Linked DNA regions of Mus musculus. The protein of the gene in region 1 purifies or fractionates together with the protein of each later gene. This does not show direct contact. Links are inferred from orthologs where the notes say so. Each region holds a gene or a part of one and is shown on either strand. Other genes may lie near its edges.

What was found.
Region 2: the proteins of Eif3k (region 1) and Eif3b purify together in Homo sapiens (affinity purification with mass spectrometry; 7 studies listed by BioGRID and IntAct, with this or other methods). This does not show direct contact. The link is inferred for Mus musculus from reciprocal best matches to the Homo sapiens genes EIF3K and EIF3B.

The regions. Positions count from the first base shown.
Region 1 is NC_000073.6:28,971,688-28,975,492, reverse strand, and holds part of Eif3k (eukaryotic translation initiation factor 3 subunit K), read left to right. Parts: intron 1-823; coding exon 824-890; intron 891-1,266; coding exon 1,267-1,344; intron 1,345-2,835; coding exon 2,836-2,961; intron 2,962-3,207; coding exon of another isoform or gene 3,208-3,260; exon of another isoform or gene 3,261-3,458; intron 3,459-3,805. UniProt on the Homo sapiens protein: Component of the eukaryotic translation initiation factor 3 (eIF-3) complex, which is required for several steps in the initiation of protein synthesis.
Region 2 is NC_000071.6:140,417,676-140,422,146, forward strand, and holds the start of Eif3b (eukaryotic translation initiation factor 3 subunit B), read left to right. Parts: upstream 1-1,629; 5' UTR 1,630-1,685; coding exon 1,686-2,151; intron 2,152-4,471.

The DNA.
Region 1 (3,805 bases):
AGTTGCTCTCATAGGTTTTCTCCCAACTTAATGGCTTCCACCAAAGTGAAGCCCTTCTTTCTCCAACTCTTGTTCTTGTGTTTGTTTGTTTGGTTTTGGGTTGTTTTTTTTGTTGTTGTTGTTTTGTTTTTTGTTTTTTTTTTTTTGTTTTTGTTTTTTTGAGACAGGGTTTCTCAGTGTAGCCTTGGCTGTCCTGGAACTCACTCTGTAGACCAGGCTGGCCTCGAACTCAGAAATCTGCCTGCCTCTGCCTCCCAAGTGCTGGGATTAAAGGCGTACGCCACCATTGCCCAGCTCTCCCGCTCTTGTTTAAGGGAGTTTTGCTGAGAGTAAAAACCTGGAGGGGTGAAGGATGAGCTGCAAAGAGGAAACTTCCAGGCACAAAGCCGCACAAAGGGCCTGAGGTAGGCAGGTCTAGTGAGGAGACCCTTGTGGCTGAAGGAGATGGAGGCAATGGAAAGTGTACAGATGACCTGCCTGGGTGTGTGTGTACACATTTACCTTCTATGATTTGGTTGTTGGACTTCCCAGCCAGGCAGAGGCAGGTGGATTTTTTTAGTTCAAGGCCAACCTGGTTTTTCAGGGCCAGTTCCAGGACTGCTAGGGCTACACAGAGAAACCTTGTCTTAAACCAGAGACAGGGGCGGGCAGGTGGGCAGGCAGGCAGGCAGGCAGAGGCACGATCTCCTGTACCCGGATTGCTCACACCTGCTGACTCAGAACTTTTGATCCCTCCTGTCTCAGCCTCCACAACGTCAGCACTGACTGGTTAATGCTGAGTGATGGTGCTAGTGTTAATACTGGGGCATCCTTTCTTCCACAGCAAGCCCTGGATGAGAACATGGACCTTCTGGAAGGCATAACTGGCTTTGAAGACTCTGTCCGAAAATGTGAGTCCTGGGAGCCTGGGTTCCCGAGGGCTTAAGGCAGTGTAGCAGGGACTTGGGAGAAGGGGGATTAAAAATGAGGCAGACTGGGCCTTGTGCAATAGCCAATTTTATTTAGAGCATAAGTTTATATTCTGAAAGTTAAGCATGGTCATACGAGCACAGTTCCCAAAGTTCAAGCCATATACAGCCCCGAGGATAAAGCTGCGCTTGGAAGTGGTTTTTTAATAACAGAAGCAGCTGTGTGTAATCTGGAGCAAGCCCTTGCTGTTTACTACACCTGCGGGGGACACAGAAGAGCCCTCAGAATTCTCACACAGCTCCGTTCCTGGATTACGTGCCAGCGGCCTCTTGACTGTCTTTGTTTTGATTCTCACAGTTATCTGCCACGTGGTGGGCATCACGTACCAGCACATCGACCGCTGGCTGCTGGCCGAGATGCTCGGAGACCTGACTGGTGAGGCCTGGTGCTGTTTCTGTCAGTCTGAGAGGAAAAGGTGGTTGGGGCATGGGGCCTCAGGCAGCTCAGGGGAACCCACCGCACCTTTCCGAGGTTGTTACCTGCCCCAGAGTGTGGGTGAGGGTTTGGTATAGGATGTTGCCTTCTGTATCTCCATGAGTTCAAGGCCAACCAGGGCTATGTAGTGAGACACTGCCTCGAAAACACCCTGACCAGGTGTAGTGCTGTCCTCCTGGAATTCCAGTTATAGGAAGCTGGAGCAAGAAGATTGTCTGGAATTCCAGGCCAGCCTGGGCTATAGCATGAGCCTCTGCACCAACCAGTTAACAGATGCACATGTCAGACAGTGGTCCTGATGCTGACCTTGGCAGTGAATAGGAGAGCTCAGGCCCTTTTCATGGATGGAGCGAAGTGGAAGCATCAGCACCTTGTAGTTGGTGTTGCCAAGGGTAGCAGGGCTGCTTTGGAGGGATGGCATTCGGCCTCTAGAGGAGGCCAGTGTGGCCCTCCTGCAGCAGGGGCCTGCCTGTCATGTGTGCTGTGCCTGCGTGCCCTGGAAGCATACACATCTCTGGAGAACTTCCGTGGTCTGTCCTCTGGTGACAGGACATGGGACGGCTCTGAGAAGGCCCAGCCTTGATTACAATGAGGTTCTTAAAAGGTCCCTCCAAACCAAAACCCTCAGCACTTGAGTTTGCAAAAAGTGGCGCTGGGCCGGAGAGAGGTTCGGCAGCTGTGAGCATCTATCTCCTGCTTGATGCGGAAGAAGGTTTGCGGGGTCCAGCACCCATTGTGGGCGGTCACAGGCACCAAGAAATTCCATGCAGTTTCTCACCCTGGGAGCACCTGCGTACATTCACATTTGCGCACACAAATGAGTACACCATTGCTCTCCTCAGATACACCAGAAGAGGGCATCAGATCTCATGGTTGTGAGCCACCACGTGGTTGCTGGGAATTGAACTCAGAACCTCTGGAAGAGCAGTCAGTGCTCTTATTCGCTGATCTCCCCAGCCCTAAATAAATGTTTTGTCTTGTTTTTATTTTTAAAATAAATAAATAGTATTGTTAAGAAACTAAGGGAACCTGTGCCTGGAGGCACAAATTCTATAGTCCTGGTACTTGGAAGAGAGTCGGGAGTATTAGGAGTTTACGTCATGATGAGTCCAAGCCAGCCAGGGCTGCATGAAATCCTGTCTCAAAAAAAAAAAAAAACCAAAGCCAAAACCAAAAACCTACAGAAAAACCCCTATGTGACTAGGAGAAAGAGGCTAGTGCGCCCCCTGGTGGCCAAGTGGAGACTGAGCCCCAGATTGCTGGCTTTGCCCTAGAGGATCTCTTCTTCCGAGTCCTGCTGCTGTCCAGGCAGGAGTTGGCCTAGAGCAGTTAGCAAAGGGGGCTTGGCCTGCTCAGCCCCGATTCCTCTGCCTCCAAAGCCCCTAGTGTTAGGGTTCAGGCCACCAACACCTCCGCCCATGTCACCTGCAGACAACCAGCTGAAGGTGTGGATGAGCAAGTACGGCTGGAGCGCTGACGAGTCAGGGCAGGTCTTCATCTGCAGCCAGGAAGAGAGCATTAAGCCCAAGAACATCGTGGAGAAGATTGACTTTGACAGTAAGTGGCCTGGGGCCGCAGACTGTAGGGAAGACAGTGTCCTGGTGGGAGAGCAGTGCTGGGTGTGCAAAGCACGAGGCAGAGCCTGTATTCCTGGACTGGGAACTGTCTGCCAGATTCCAGGTTGCTGGCCCAGGGAGAGACTGTGAGGGATGCTGAGTAGTCTCCCCTGCTGGATGTGAGCCGTCCATGTTCTCTCTCTCTCTCCCCCCCTCCCTCCCACCCCCCGCCCTGGCATTCCTCTAGACCAGACTGGCCTCAAACTCTACCTACCTCTCCCTCCCGAGTGCTGGAATTAAAGACTTGTCCACTCAGGGCTGTGGCTCTCGATGAGTCATTTGGTCCCACCATAAGGTAGTTGCTCTTGTTCTAACTTGGAAACTATTAGAACTGGCACAGTGCCTGCCTCCTCGTGTAGAGAGAGCCAGGCGCAGAGTGAAAGGCAGTGACAGCCGTTCCTGTCACATTTTGAATAAACAGTCTTATCCCAAAAGAGGAAAAAGTAGGTGTGGTGTCTTTGATCTCAGCACTCTGGAGGCTCAAGGCCAGCCTAGCCTACCTAAAGTGACACAGGCATTTAGCTAGGTGCCCTGCTTCATCCTTCTCTCAGAGGAAGTGACCTGAAGTGGGGAAGGACAGGGACACGCCTCCTGCTAGGGCTCCTCCCCCTTCTCCCAACTTTGGCTCTGTTGAGGGCCACCAGCTGGTCAGTGGCCAAGCTGAGCATCAGTGAGCTGTGTCACTTCCCACTGGGTGCTCTGACCTCTACAGAAAGTGTCCACCATGCTTGGGTCTCAGAAGTCCACACAGTTCTATCTGCAGTGGAGAGCTGCCGGCCCGGCCA
Region 2 (4,471 bases), on another chromosome or scaffold:
ATACTCAGCCAGGGGCTGGTGAGATGGCTCAGTGGGTAAGAGCACCCGACTGCTCTTCCGAAGGTCTGAAGTTCAAATCCCAGCAACCACATGGTGGCTCACAGCCATCTGTAATGAAATCTGACCCCTCTTCTGGAGGGTCTGAAGACAGCTACAGTGTACTTACATGTAGTAAATAAATAAATAAATAAATCTTAAAAAAAAAAAAAACCTCAGCCAGCCCAGTACTAACTTATCCATCAGCCCGTGTTCACATGTTTTGTGGTTTAGTCTTTATATCGCACAGGCTGGCATGATCTTTCTGCCTCAGTCTCCCCAGTGCTGGGATTCCAAGTCTATGCTTCCTGGTCAACTAACAGGTCCTTTAAAAAAAAAAAAAAAGGAAAGTTTTGTTTGTTTTTTCTTAGGAATGATCTGGGACCAGAGAGGTGACTCAACTGTTTTTGTTGTTGTTTTGTCTTTTAAATTAGGCTCAACAGTTCAGAGCATTGCCTGCTCTTCTAGAGAGCCTGGGTTCTATTGCCAGCAACGACATGCGGTTCATAATTGTCTACTCTAAGTCCTGCGCGTGATACGATGCCTTCTTTCGGCCTCCGCTTGTACACGGTGCACAGACAGACTTGCTGGCAGAACACTGATACGCATAAAAAAAAATTCGAGTTAAGAGATGGTTGTAAACTACCATATGGGTACTGAGAGCGAAACTTGTGTTCTTAAGCTCTTAGTCCCCTCAACTAGTTCTTATTAAGATTTTCGAAACTTTGAACTGGAAGTATCAAAAATCTTGACTATCTTTTCAAGCAAACCACTCTTGGGGTCCCCCTGGTCACTCCACGAAGGTTCCGTCCCGTCCACCCCACGCTGGCCCACGTGATCGCGCTCTCCCGCGCGTGAAGACCGCAGTCACCGGCAGACAGAATCACAGTGACTTTCACGTCTGGGGCCAACGCTAAATTGCGAGCCGCTGCAGTGAGGATGGCCATTGAGATTAAAGCCGCTCATCACACGACTCTGCATTGTGCGGGCAGTCATTCTTGTGTGTGTTGGCGGCCCCTGGTTGTCGGCGAGCTCCTCGCGTAATTTTGGAACCCTTCGTTCTTTTGCCCCGTCAGTGGACCGGTCTAAAATGCAAGACCTTACGGGGGAGCGAAGCCAGTCATGTCAGTCAAGCAGTCTGTCTGATTAAAAGCAAAGCTTACAAAGAATCATGTGTGGAGCTTTCAGTTGTCTTGGCATTATTTTATGGTCACATATTTTGTCTTCATACAGTTACGCGTGTTAATCATTTGAGAATCCACTTGATGCTCCCCAGATAGTACAGTCCTTCCCCGTAGCGCCCGCTGGGAGAGGCAAAGGAACTTCTACCATCTTGGACGCAACTATTTCTTAGCTAGAATGGGGGAGCCACATATCCTTGTGAATTTATTTGCTACCTTAAAAAACCTTTTGGGCTATAAATAAACTTGCATATCTTGAAACTTATTATTTTAATTGTTTCTAGATTTTTATGCATATCTGAGTTTTCTCGGGCTGATCGTGAGGAATGAGGGCGTGGGTGTCTCCCCCGAGCCACATCTTGGTACGATCCCATCGCTGCACGCACATGGCTCCGCGCTAGCGGCGCGCGGTGACTTCTGGGAGTCGGAAGCAGGGCGGCCGAGCCGGGTGAGAAGCAGCGCGGGCCCATGCAGGACGCTGAGAACGTGGCGGTGCCCGAGGCGGCCGAGGAGCGGGCTGAGCCCGCGAGGCAGCAGCCGGCCTCCGAGTCGCCGCCGACGGACGAGGCGGCAGGGTCTGGGGGGTCCGAAGTGGGGCAGACGGAAGACGCCGAAGAAGACGCCGAGGCCGGACCGGAGCCCGAAGTGAGGGCCAAGCCGGCGGCCCAATCCGAAGAGGAAACGGCGACGAGTCCGGCCGCCTCGCCCACGCCGCAGTCGGCGGAGCGGTCCCCGTCGCAGGAGCCCTCTGCTCCCGGGAAGGCAGAGGCCGTTGGCGAGCAGGCCCGGGGGCACCCCTCGGCTGGAGCGGAGGAGGAGGGCGGGTCTGATGGGAGCGCGGCTGAGGCGGAGCCGCGGGCTCTGGAGAACGGAGAGGCAGATGAGCCCTCCTTCAGCGACCCCGAGGATTTCGTAGACGACGTGAGCGAGGAAGGTAAGGGCGATCGTGTCCCCGGCCAGGGCGCGAGGTCTCCCGGTTACAACGATCTTGTTTCCTCTACAGTGGGGGACCATTTGGGGAGTCCGTTTCTGCGGCAAGCCCTTGCACCTGGGGGTTGGTGGAGGGCAGGACGAACAGGACTATCTGGGGGCATTCCAGTTTCCTGGCCAAGGGTTTCCAGGGTTGACCAGTTGCTGTGTTCCCAATGGTTTCCGTAGTAAGGCATTGCCATCGGACCCAAGCACATTACCAACCTGCTTCCTTTTACTAGGTCGGTACCCTGGACCATTGCTTTTTCACATTGTTCGTTTGGCCGCTTACTTCATGATTTCTTCTATGGTGACTGGCTTTTTAAAGGCATTGTTTCTGTCTACCTGCACAGGAGCCAGATTCCTAAAATCTTTTTTGACAGTTGATAGCATGTGTTCCTCTGCCGTTTCAACTTCACTTGAGCCAGTTCCTTCATGTGTTGGTGTGGCTAATACCAAGGGCCAAAGGGCCTAAGAACACCACTTTTTTTTTTTTTTTTTTAAACGAGACAGGGCCTCTCTATGTAGTTCAGGCTGAAATTGAACTCTTGGTTCTTCTCAGTTTTCACGGTGCTGGTCCTACAGACATGTACTCCCAAACAATTGCTTTTGAACTACCATGAAAATTCAGCGCCCCAATATAGTTGTCAACTTAGAACTTACAATATTTCAAGAGGTCGTCATTTGATGTCACCATTGTTTGACTTAATCCTTTTGTATGTTTGTGGGGGTTGTTTTGTTTTGTTGTGAAACAGGGTCTGGCATGGTCCAGGCTGGCCAGCTCTTTATGAAGCTGAAGCTGTCTTTGATCCCCATCCTTCTGCCTCCACTTTCAGATTGCCAGGATTTGAGATGTGAGTCACCATGCCTGGCTTATTTCTTGAAAGATGGCTAAGAGTGAGAAGCCGATAAACTAATGTGAGGAATCTATAGGCTCCAGCCTTGAGGACGTTTATCTGGGTAGAGCAGGTTTCTGGGTTCCCACTCTCGCCCGACTCCAGTGCTTGCTAATGTACCTGTTTTCCCCATGTTAGAGCCTAAGCTTTGACTTTGAAGCTCCTTTTGAATCCTTGGTTCCTTTGGCTATTTTGGGTCTGGGCTGTCCCTGTCACTTCATGGTTTCAGACAGGACCTCACCATTTGGCTGGGCCAGCAGGCCACGTAGGTCCTTGTACTTTTCTAGCACTGGGAATGCGGCTCCGTGCCCCTCCAGCTTTTTTGAGTTGGGTGCTAGCCTACAGGAGTGATCTTACCTCAAGTCCTGCTGCTCGCCCAACAAGCGTCTTTTGAGCTAAACCATTTGCCCATAGGCACTACCAGCATCTTTTCCCCTTTTCAAAGGTCTGTTTTGTTTTGTTTATTTGTTTTTAATTGAAATTTTGCACAGGATCATTTTGCCCGTGTGTCTAGTGCCCATGGAGGCCATTGGATGGCTCTCTTAGAACTGGAGTTTGAATTAGAATTGGTTGTAAGTACTGGGAAGAAAATGGGTCAGTCTACTGCAAGATGAGTATTTAAAGAATATTTGAACCCGTTTAATTCACAGATTCCAGTATGTATATTATTTCCAGAATTGGGGATTATAGGAGTCAGGGGATGCTGGCTGGTGTGACTGCAAGGCCAGCCTGCCTTCAACAAGTCTGCTAGGAGCCCAGTGGGTCCCGTCCAGTGTATGCAGGGAAAGGGAGAGTAATGAGAATCTGGCCCTTAATGGTTGGAACTCTTAAGGCCATCTGGCTTTGGGCATCAGGGTGTCACAGTGTCATCAGGGTGAGAAGAGAAACAGCCTTTTGGTTTCTACCAGGAGGAGCAGTGTGGAATCCTCACATCAGTATATGCCTCCTATTCTGTTACTGATAATGAACAAGTTGTTTTCTCTAGTGTGCTGTGCATGCCAGCAGTTCAGTACTTGGAAGGTAGAGGTTTGAGGTTAGCCCTTGCTACATAGAGGGTGCAGAGCCAGCCCGAGGTACTTGGGACCCTATATCACAAGACAGATAGAAGGGGGCTGAAGAGATGGCTCAACACTTGCTGTTCTTCCAGAGCACCTGGGTTTGATTCCCAGCTCCTGCATGATGGCTCACAAGTCTCTGTAACTCAGGAGTGATCATGTGGTACACATATACACAAAAAACATTTATACATGTCACAATAAAGTGTAAAAAACCCAAGCAAATGGAAAGAAGCAGTGTGTTGCGTTCTGAGGATATTTTGCTCTGCGCTTCTCAGGAGAAGCAGATGGTTAGTTACAGGCTAGGAGCACTTTGAGCTCCTGGGAAGGAGTC